2 linked regions of the Canis lupus familiaris genome follow. The protein of the gene in region 2 purifies or fractionates together with the protein of the main gene of each other region. This does not show direct contact. Links are inferred from orthologs where the notes say so. Each region holds a gene or a part of one and is shown on either strand. Other genes may lie near its edges. The genes, in order: SUFU and CDC25C.

The links.
Region 1: the proteins of CDC25C (region 2) and SUFU purify together in Homo sapiens (affinity purification with mass spectrometry; 4 studies listed by BioGRID and IntAct, counting the BioPlex papers as one, with this or other methods). This does not show direct contact. The link is inferred for Canis lupus familiaris from reciprocal best matches to the Homo sapiens genes CDC25C and SUFU.

Annotation. Positions count from the first base shown.
Region 1 is NC_049249.1:15,181,921-15,186,515, reverse strand, and holds the start of SUFU (suppressor of fused homolog), read right to left. Parts: upstream 2,811-4,595; 5' UTR 2,630-2,810; coding exon 2,448-2,629; intron 1-2,447. UniProt on the Homo sapiens protein: Negative regulator in the hedgehog/smoothened signaling pathway. Down-regulates GLI1-mediated transactivation of target genes. Down-regulates GLI2-mediated transactivation of target genes. Part of a corepressor complex that acts on DNA-bound GLI1.
Region 2 is NC_049232.1:25,988,706-25,993,110, forward strand, and holds the start of CDC25C (M-phase inducer phosphatase 3), read right to left. Parts: upstream 2,927-4,405; 5' UTR 2,909-2,926; intron 2,435-2,908; exon of another isoform or gene 2,198-2,434; 5' UTR 2,083-2,197; intron 1,980-2,082; exon of another isoform or gene 1,658-1,979; intron 1,211-1,657; exon of another isoform or gene 1,132-1,210; coding exon of another isoform or gene 1,003-1,131; intron 777-1,002; 5' UTR 695-776; intron 238-694; coding exon of another isoform or gene 117-237; intron 1-116. Other genes in the region: SLBP2 (uncharacterized LOC474694), read left to right, coding at 117-237, 1,003-1,131. UniProt on the Homo sapiens protein: Functions as a dosage-dependent inducer in mitotic control. Tyrosine protein phosphatase required for progression of the cell cycle. When phosphorylated, highly effective in activating G2 cells into prophase.

The sequences.
Region 1 (4,595 bases), on a different chromosome or scaffold from region 2:
GGAATAACCAAGAGTCAGACAAAATTAACCTTGTCCCCAAGCACAGTGTTCTGTTCTACTTACTCAGACACCTGATGGGAAACAGATGATTATGTAGAAAATAATCATATCTTGCACTTAGAAAAATATGTTATCCAAGGACCCAGAGTATCCCTTGATGCTCTTCCTTGAACTTACTTCCTTGAACACCTAACTTCATTCCACATGACAGCTGTAGGACTGCAGTGGCTCCTGGGTACAAGCTCTGCCTCTGTGTTTCTGTTCCCTGCCCACTAAAGTATCAGCTTTCAGCCAGGATGTCCCTGCCGGCCAAGGTCCACTAGCCAAAGAACCAACCTTCTGTCACAAGAAAAGGAATCTCAAGGGACCGTGGGCCACAGCCAGACCCAGGTAGCCTTGGTCAGTCAAACTGCTAACGAGGCCTTGTGGCATCCCAAGTGTGATGTATATTAATGAATTAATTTCAGAATCTTAATTATGCAAACCCTTCCAAATCTTAGAAAGAACTAGTTGCTCAGCTGCTCCTTCTTATATTTTTCTGCATCTGGCCAGCATTTCTAATCTCACAAAGTACTCTTTATTAGTCATTACATGTTGGCCCATTTCTGAAGATAAGTCCTGCCTGGTTAACAAGCTTGCCCAAATCAGTCTTAGTCCTTTGCATGTGCTTTAATATCTTCTGCACACAATTCTATCCTTCATGGCCAACTGGGTGACATAAAAACAGTTGCCTAAGTCTGTGTAGGGATTTCTCTGTTCATTCAAATGAGACCTGAACCAACAGCATCGCAGAACCAGGCCCTCTTTCCCCATGACACAATCCAATACAGTTCATCACAACACATACTTAAATATAGGCAAGAAATGAGAATGGGTGATTAAGTTATCAAGAGCTGCTTTTCACTCAGAAGCTCTCTTCAAAAACTCCTCTCAACCAAAGAACAGTTTGCCTGCTGAAGAGAGAACTGTACCACTGGCCACATCTCCTCTGGCTACCAGACATGACCCTCTCATAGGAGGTGGCTGGTCCCCAGGCCCTGTCTCTTCATATTGTCCCACTGACACAGGCAACTGGCCTCAGCCCCAGACAGTCTAGTTTCTGCCATCTCCAGAGGAAGTTAAGAGGTTATCCTGGAGAAGCTTCCATCCTAAAAGAAGAGGTAACCAGCAAAGACATCCACTCTCTCAACCTCCCCCTTTGGGTCTACCTGCCCCCTTGGCACATCCCAAGCTTTTTTCTGAACAGTCTTTCAGGACTCAGTGAAGGGGATTATTTAATACAGTGCCTGCATGAATGCAGTTCTGGACAAATTCTACCAATTCCTCAGTCAATATGGTCCAGAAAGACCATGAAGACAGGCTCTTTGTCAGAGTCCCTCTAACACCTGTTTTGCCCAGTGGCTGTGAAAAGAGATAGGTTGCAAACAGGAATGGGAAACAAGAAAGGACCATTCCTACCCCAAGGGCAGGCCTTCTATGATCCTGAACAGAGCCACTTGAGGGTTACTCTCAGCTTCCCTGAGAGACTGTGGTCTAAATCCTGAAGCTTGGGGCCAGGAAGCCCCTCTAAACATCTGGCTGCACTTCTTTGCTCCGTGTCTCAGGTCTTCATCATTTACTGGGGTCCCCGGCAATCCTGAGCCAAACCATGGATCTATCTCCCTGACCGTGCCTCTGTTCTAGCCAATGTCCTAGGCAAAGCGGGTGCAGAGCCAAAGGAAGCTCTGCTTGGAGAAAGAGAACTGTGCCGAGTAAGCAGAAAGTTTATCAAGAAAAGTTGCTCCGTGAAACTTCAAACGCAAAAGCACTGCACCGATATGACTGACGTCTGAGCTCATGGGGAAGGTATCTTAAAAGGAGACCTCCTCTTCCTCTCTTCACAAGCACGACTCTCGCAACTTGCCTCCCTCCTAACCTATGGGAGAGCGGGGATCCCCAAATCCACCGTACCCTGTGCAGTCTCAAGCCCTCTGAGCTCGCCAGCCGCACTCCTCCAAAGCCCTCTCTTGTGCTCCCCAGGCCCCGCCTCGCCTCCCCCATCCCACTTCAGCCGCCCTTCTTCCCCCACCCCCGCCCCCGGCTTCCCTTAGCCCACTAATGACCCCCTACAGGCGCCCCCTCCTTTCACCACGTTTACAGTTCCCTTTCTCCTATCGGCCCCCCCCCCCGCTCCTACACACACACCCCCAATTCATTCTATTCTCCTAATCCCAGTTAACCCTTCATCCTCCCCCCTCGTTAACCCTCCTCTACCCAGAGGCTCCGTTAACCCCTTTGTCCCCGTTCCCAACTTCAGCCTTAACTCCTTGCCTCGCAGCAGGACGCCCTCTTTCCAAGTGCTTTAACCATTCTTCTCCACCTCCTCCTCCCCCGCAGATGACTTCGCCCCGGGCGTTCTAACCCTTCCCTGCCCGCCGTCGTCCGTCTCCCCGCGGCCCAGGGCATACCAGTACTTGACGATAGCGGTAACCTGGAGCGGGTTCGGCTGGTCAGGGTAAAGGCGACGGCACTCTCCGTAGATGGCGTGCAGTCCCGGGGGGAAGAGCGAGGCGAAGGCCGGGGGTGCACTAGGGCCAGGGGCCGGGGGCGCGGCGGGGCCGGGGGCGCCGCTAGGCCGCAGCTCCGCCATCCGGGCGCGTAGGGCGCTGGGGGGACCGGGGAGGGTGGACGAGGGGGAGAGCTCTGACGCGCCAGCAGGCGGACTCCGTGGGTGCGACTCCCCCAGGCGATGGGGGCTGCAGCGAGGTCTAGGCTCCGCGCCTGCGCACGGCGCACCGTCTGCCCAGGCCGTAGCCGCCGCAGAGACGGCCGGAGGGTGCCTCGGGGGCCGCGGAGCGCTCGGGGGGGCGGGGCGCCGGCGCGCCCTATCCCGGTATCCATTGGCTAGTGTCTGTGCCAGTCACAGATGGGGAAGGCGTGACTTGGCAATAGGTCCCGCCTCCCTCTCCGTGTGTGGGGGGGGTCCCAAGGCTCTTGGCCTCCCCCTAGTGTTAGGAGGAACCCAGATTTAAATAGAAATGTTGAGGCATCCTCAGGTGCTAGGGTCCCAGGAAAGCTGTGGGAAGCTCGCTGACGAACGACTTGTCGCTATTGTGCTGACACCCTGCTAACAAGAATTTAAGCACAAATTTGACAATAGTGGATTGATTCATTCGTCCATTTAGCGTGGCTTTAGTTGTAATAGATTATAAATCTGAATATTTCCTACCATCTTTGAATGTCCATTTACCATATTTACTGACACTAACCCCGCCAAATTCAGGGGTTGTATGTTGAAATATTTACTTTGGAGTCTTGTTAAAAAGTAGCAAGAGGGATCCCTGGGTGGCGCAGTGGTTTAGCGCCTGCCTTTGGCCCAGGGCGCGATCCTGGAGACCCGGGATCGAATCCCACGTCAGGCTCCCGGTGCATGGAGTCTGCTTCTCCCTCTGCCTGTGTCTCTGCCTCTCTCTCTCTCTCTCTCTCTCTCTATGACTATCATAAATAAATAAAAATTTAAAAAAATTAAAAAAAAAGTAGCAAGAAAAAAAAAAAGTAGCAGGAGTTAGGGACGCCTGAGTGGCTTAGTGATTGAACGTCTGCCTTTGACTCGGGGAATGGTCCCAGAGTTCTGGGATAGAGTCCCACATTGGGCTCCCTGTAGGCAGTCAGCTTCTCTCTCTCTACCTATGTCTCTGCCTCTCTCTCTGTGTGTCTCTCTTGAATAAATAAAATCTTTTTTTTTTTTTAAAGTAGCAAGGGCAGCCCCGGTGGTGCAGCGGTTTAGCGCCGTCTGCAGCCCAGGGCGTGATCCTGGAGACCCTGGATCGAGTCCCATGTCGGGCTCCCTGCGTGGAGCCTGCTTCTCCCTCTGCCTCTCTCTCTCTCTCTCTCTCTCTCTCTCTCACTCTGTGTCTCTATGAATAAATAAATAGAATCTTTAAAAAAAATTAAAAAGTAGGAAGAGTTAGGTAAACTAAGACTAGTTTTTAAAACTTGGTAATTTTTTGTCTTTATTTTTTTTAAGATTTTATTTATTTGAAAGAGAGAGAGAACAGTGGGGGAGAGAGGCAGAGGGAGAGGAAGAAGCAGACTCCCTACTGCTGGATCCCAGGATCCAGAGATCATGACCAGAGCTCAAGGCAGACACTTAACCTACTGAGTCACCCAGGCACCCCAAGACTTGGTAATTTTTAAAATAAATGCTTTTAGTGATGACAATCTCTTCTTTGTTCTGTTTTATGCAGATTGCCTTAAGGAACATCAATATTCATTATCTACTATAGACCTGCTCTTTCCCATTACCATTGGCTTTCTGTAACTGGGAGAATTTTTTGTTATTTTAAGTAATCTCTACATCCAATGTGGGGCTCGAAGTTACAACCCCCAGATTAAGAGCCATGTGTTCTCCCGATTTAGCGAGCCAGCCACCCCTGGGAGAATTTTTAATTCCTAAGCCACCTAGTTGAGAATTATTTTCCAGGGTACAATAAATAATTCCAAGAGAAAGGAATAAAAGGAAGTCCTAATTACCAGTGCTATTGACTAAAGGGTCTCCACTATTTGAACGGGAGGGATTGGTTCATCTAGAGAAAGATGCACTGGGCAGTGACACA
Region 2 (4,405 bases):
TAGGAGTGGTGGACTGAGCCCTACCTCTCCTCACTTTGCAGAGGTTTAGCTTTTTCTGGCTGAAAAGGGATAGTCTGAAAGAGGTGCATATTCCTCTGACTCTGCCACTTTCCCAGCCAGGGAATGGAGCATCTCTTAGAGCCAATGGGTTCCACACCTACGGATGACCTCCTGGATGACTGGTTCCAGGCCCTGGAACCATCAGTGAATCTGAATGAAGACCAGAAGGGAGCCCAGGTAGTATCCTTTTCTAAAACCCATTGGAGCAGGGTTAGAGTAGGGTCTGGCCCACAAGGTAACAATTAGGATGGGATTCAAGGTAGTAGTCGAAAAACAAAAGAAGAAAAATTGGGCAGCAAGAAAAAATAGGACATGAATTAAAATATCTAAGAAAAAGGTGGCATAAGGACATTTAATTGTAGTTAACAATGGTGGGAAATTGGGCTGCATTGGGGGTTATTTTATACTTGATGAAAGGAGTACAATATTTCTTGGAATTGAGGCCTTGAAACCTGATATGGCTTTTTTAATGTCTCCTTTTATTTCAATATTTTGCAAATGAGCCAATGCTAACTTTACTTCTTATTCTCAGTCACTGAACTTTAATAAAGTATGGTTGATAATAAAAACAAGGATTACCAAGTGGAATGAAGACCAAGGGCTTTAGAGCCTCAGGACTGCTTTATAATATTACCTTTGTCCACCACATGGACAATCACTTCATCTCTCCAACCATTTCAACTGTCAAATAGGGAGATTTGTCTCATTTGATGATTCTAAGCAAAAAATAAGAATACATATTAAAGTATGTAGCACGGTGCCTGGCACATAATAAGTGCTCCACAACAGCAATTATTGGAAACTAGGTCTCCCCACTTCATGGCCCCTGTCCCCTCTTTTGCCAAGGAGAAATGTGCAAGGAAAGGAAATGTGCAGTGCATCTTCCTTCCACCCCCATTTTCTTCATAAGTAGCTCACTCTGCCTCTACTCTTCTTTTTCAGTTTGCAGACTTGGTACCTCCTGCCTACTCCTTTCCCTGGCTCTATGAGGAAGAACACCACTGGTTCTACTTTCTAGCTGATCACAGTTACATACCTGTCCCAGATTTGAATGAGGCACAAAATATTTAGAGAAAGCATATGTCTTTCAAGGGACGTGTTGCTAAGTGTAACAGTAAAGATTACCTGCATTACTGCTACTTCCCAATGGATTAAAAAAAAAAAAATCTAAAACTGCCCTACAAAGAGATCACAACACGAAAGCATTGTTTAAAACTTCTTTTTCCATTTCTGCCTGCTTTTCTAAACCTTCTTTGATAGCTGAGCCTCAAATTTACATAAGAGCCAGTAACCATTTTGCTGTTCCCCAACCTCCTCCCTACTAACGTCTACATTCAGGCTTCTCAAAAAAGACTTAAACTTTGGCTGAGGTGGGAGGTGATGGTAGTGGTGGAAATTTAATAAAGGGTGGCATCCTCTTCCTGAAGAGGAAATACAAAGCTATCAACATCTTTTACCCAGCTGCCTGTTTCCTTCCTCCCTCCCTTTCTGTCTTAAGGAAAGTGGTCCAGCTGTAACCACCATACTCCCCCCCCTCCCCCGCCCACCCCCGCAAGCAACTGAACCGCCTATGATGTCATAATCACAACCCCATTACCTCATCCTGCTGGGGGGTGGGGGTGCGTAGAGGAAGGAGGAGGAGTGAGCAGCCCTGGGCCCTTTTCAGCTTTACAAAGTGTTTTGGGTGAGGGCTAATTACAGAATCAATTGGGAACGGCCCCGCAACCGTTACAAGTCCTGGGTTTATAAGGTTGGAGGGTATCCGGCAGCTGGAAGAGGGGCTCCCGGGACTCAGAGCAGGCCCTGATCGGCTCTTGGACTACATTTCCCAGAAGTCTTCACGCCGCGGGCCGGTCCTCTGCTGGCGGAAGGGGGATTCCTTCTGAGAGGTGCCCGTAGAGGGCGGGAGGAGAGAGCAGGTAAGAGCAACTCTGGCTATTTCTGTTACGCGGCCCGAACCGGGTAGGGGGCCGTACTAGGGCCAATGTTGGAATGGAGGGCGAGGAGAATCGCTTTGTTTACCTTCGTCCGACACGGTCTCCCCCGCGGGTTTGGAGCTGTGCCGCCAACTGGGTCCGTCCACCTTCAGCAATATTTTGGAGGGGGTGACTCGATAGTGAAGAAGCCACCTTCATCCCTAAATCAAAGAGCTTGGCTCATTCCCGACAGCACTTTCCAAAAAAGATTTTGGGAGAGAAGCGACGCGGGGTTCGAGCCTCCCCGGGCGGTTCAGGGCGATTCTGCGAACCAGAGCGATTCCCCCACTCTCCTTCGGGGCCCGTTGGTTCGCGCCGGCGCCTTTTAAGGGCACCGTGGGGCGAACGGAGCGCTCAGAGCTGCTCCGGCCGCGGCCCAGGGAGCTGGAGGAGCCGCGGTAGGTGGCGAGGGCAGGTGGCGCTGGGGCCTCGGGGCGGGCACCTCGACTGTCCCTCCCTCCTTCCCTCTTTCCCTTCCCCCAGCCCGGCGGCGCGCGCGGCACGGCCTCTCTGGACGCCTCCACGGGGAGAGCACGGGACCCGGTGGGGGAGGGGTTGGTGGAGTGCTAAGTCCCAGACCCTTTCCATCTCCTGCGTCCTGAGTTCGCTTCCCGCGGCCAGATGATGGAAGCTGATTGGGAAGAGGCGAAAGACAGCCCCCCTGAGCGAGCCCTGGTGCCCCCCTAGGGGCTAGCGGACGCCCCATGCCCCACCCCGCGGGGACAGGCAGGGCAACCGAGGGAGAGGTTGAAGACTGGAGGGGGGCCTAGCCTTTTGCTTCTTCATCGGGGTGGGGGGAGGGGTGCTCCCCACTTGTCACCCCTATCCCCGCCAGAGCCATATGGAGGAAGAGCAGTCAGTTCCCCACTTACCTGTTCATGTACCTCCCTGCCTCCCTCATGTTTTTCTTTAGTGTCCCCCAGAGGTGTGGGGCTGGGACCTGGGGGGAGGGTCCCCAGGGGATTTGTGACTCTCCTCCCTCTTGGCTTGATTTGATCCTGGGTTCTCCAGGTTTCAGCACAACCTTAGCATCCCTGAAACCCCAACGTCAGGGGTTACTACCATCCAATAGTAGATGGGGTGGGGGTCCAGTCTTTATTTTAGGGGGCTGTTGGTGGAGGGAAAGCCTGGATTGAGAGTTGGGCCTGGTGGGGTCGTAGGGAGGGCCTAGCGGCCTGCTGCTCTGTGAAGGGCTGAGCCCTGTGCCAGTTGTTAAGCTGAGAAGTTTTAACTTGTTTAGTGAACATTCAGGGCTGTCTCTGCCCCTCAGATACACAAAATGGAAGGGGAAGGAAGGCGGCAAGAGAGGGTTTCTTACACTTTTTTCTATGCCTGCCTGAGAAAGAGGAGGCCCCTCGCGGAGCTGGTTTGCCTTCTTTTGTGTCCTGGTTTGATTCCTTATGGCTTCCGTTCTGTTCCCCCTCTCAGCCTGGCCTGTTTTAGGAAACTCAGGCTGAGAGTATCAGTTGCGTGGTGGTAGTTGCATTGTTCCAATTACCGCCGTGTGTGGCCACATCCCAACAATTAAAATGCAGAAAAACACAAAATCACTCTCTTCACTTGATCCCAGAGAGGGCTGGGAGTTTGCTGTTTGGCCAAATGCCTCATGAAAAGCTTGAAAGACTTTGCTTCACTCCCTGCTCTTCATGGCTGGTGAGCCTGAGGCCTGGGATCTCTGGGGTAAAAGCCTGCAGTTAGGGTCCCTCTCTAGTTGATCTTTTGGGGGCAGAGTTAAGAAACCAAGAGCAATGTGATATAAGCTTTAGCTTTTCCCACAAGATCATAGGGGAAGCCGCTGAAGGGAGCTCTCAGGAAGCTAGAACTTCTTTGAGGGTGGTAATAATAATTATGCATGAAAATGATAGTTAACTGTAATGATGGTTGATTTCTCCCACAGCTTCCAAAAAACTGCAGATACATCAACACGTAGTTCTTTGCTTTTCTTTACTTACTTCTCTCCAAGGTGGAACGGGGTAGAGATGATTCCCTCTTTTTGCAAAAGTAGAAAGTACTCTACCTCCAAGGTCACAGAAGAGCTGTTTGGGGCTTCCCTGGGTGTTCAGGTGAGGGAGGTTGGCATCCAGCCAAATAGATAAACCCAATTGTCCTCTTCAGATTAATGATATTATCACATGTGGCATTCTTAGGCTGTGTAGAGCAACAAACAGGAGAGTTTGAGAAACAGTCTATGTGGACTCCTGATTTGTGCAGGTTAGATGGTATGCTTTTTACACTTTGATATTTCACATTATATTGTACCCATGACACATTAAGACATTTATTCTGCCCATTTTACATGTAGGTTAACTAAGGCCAAGAAAACTCCAGTGATTTCCCAGAACTGTCCCAGCAAATTAACACAAGACGTA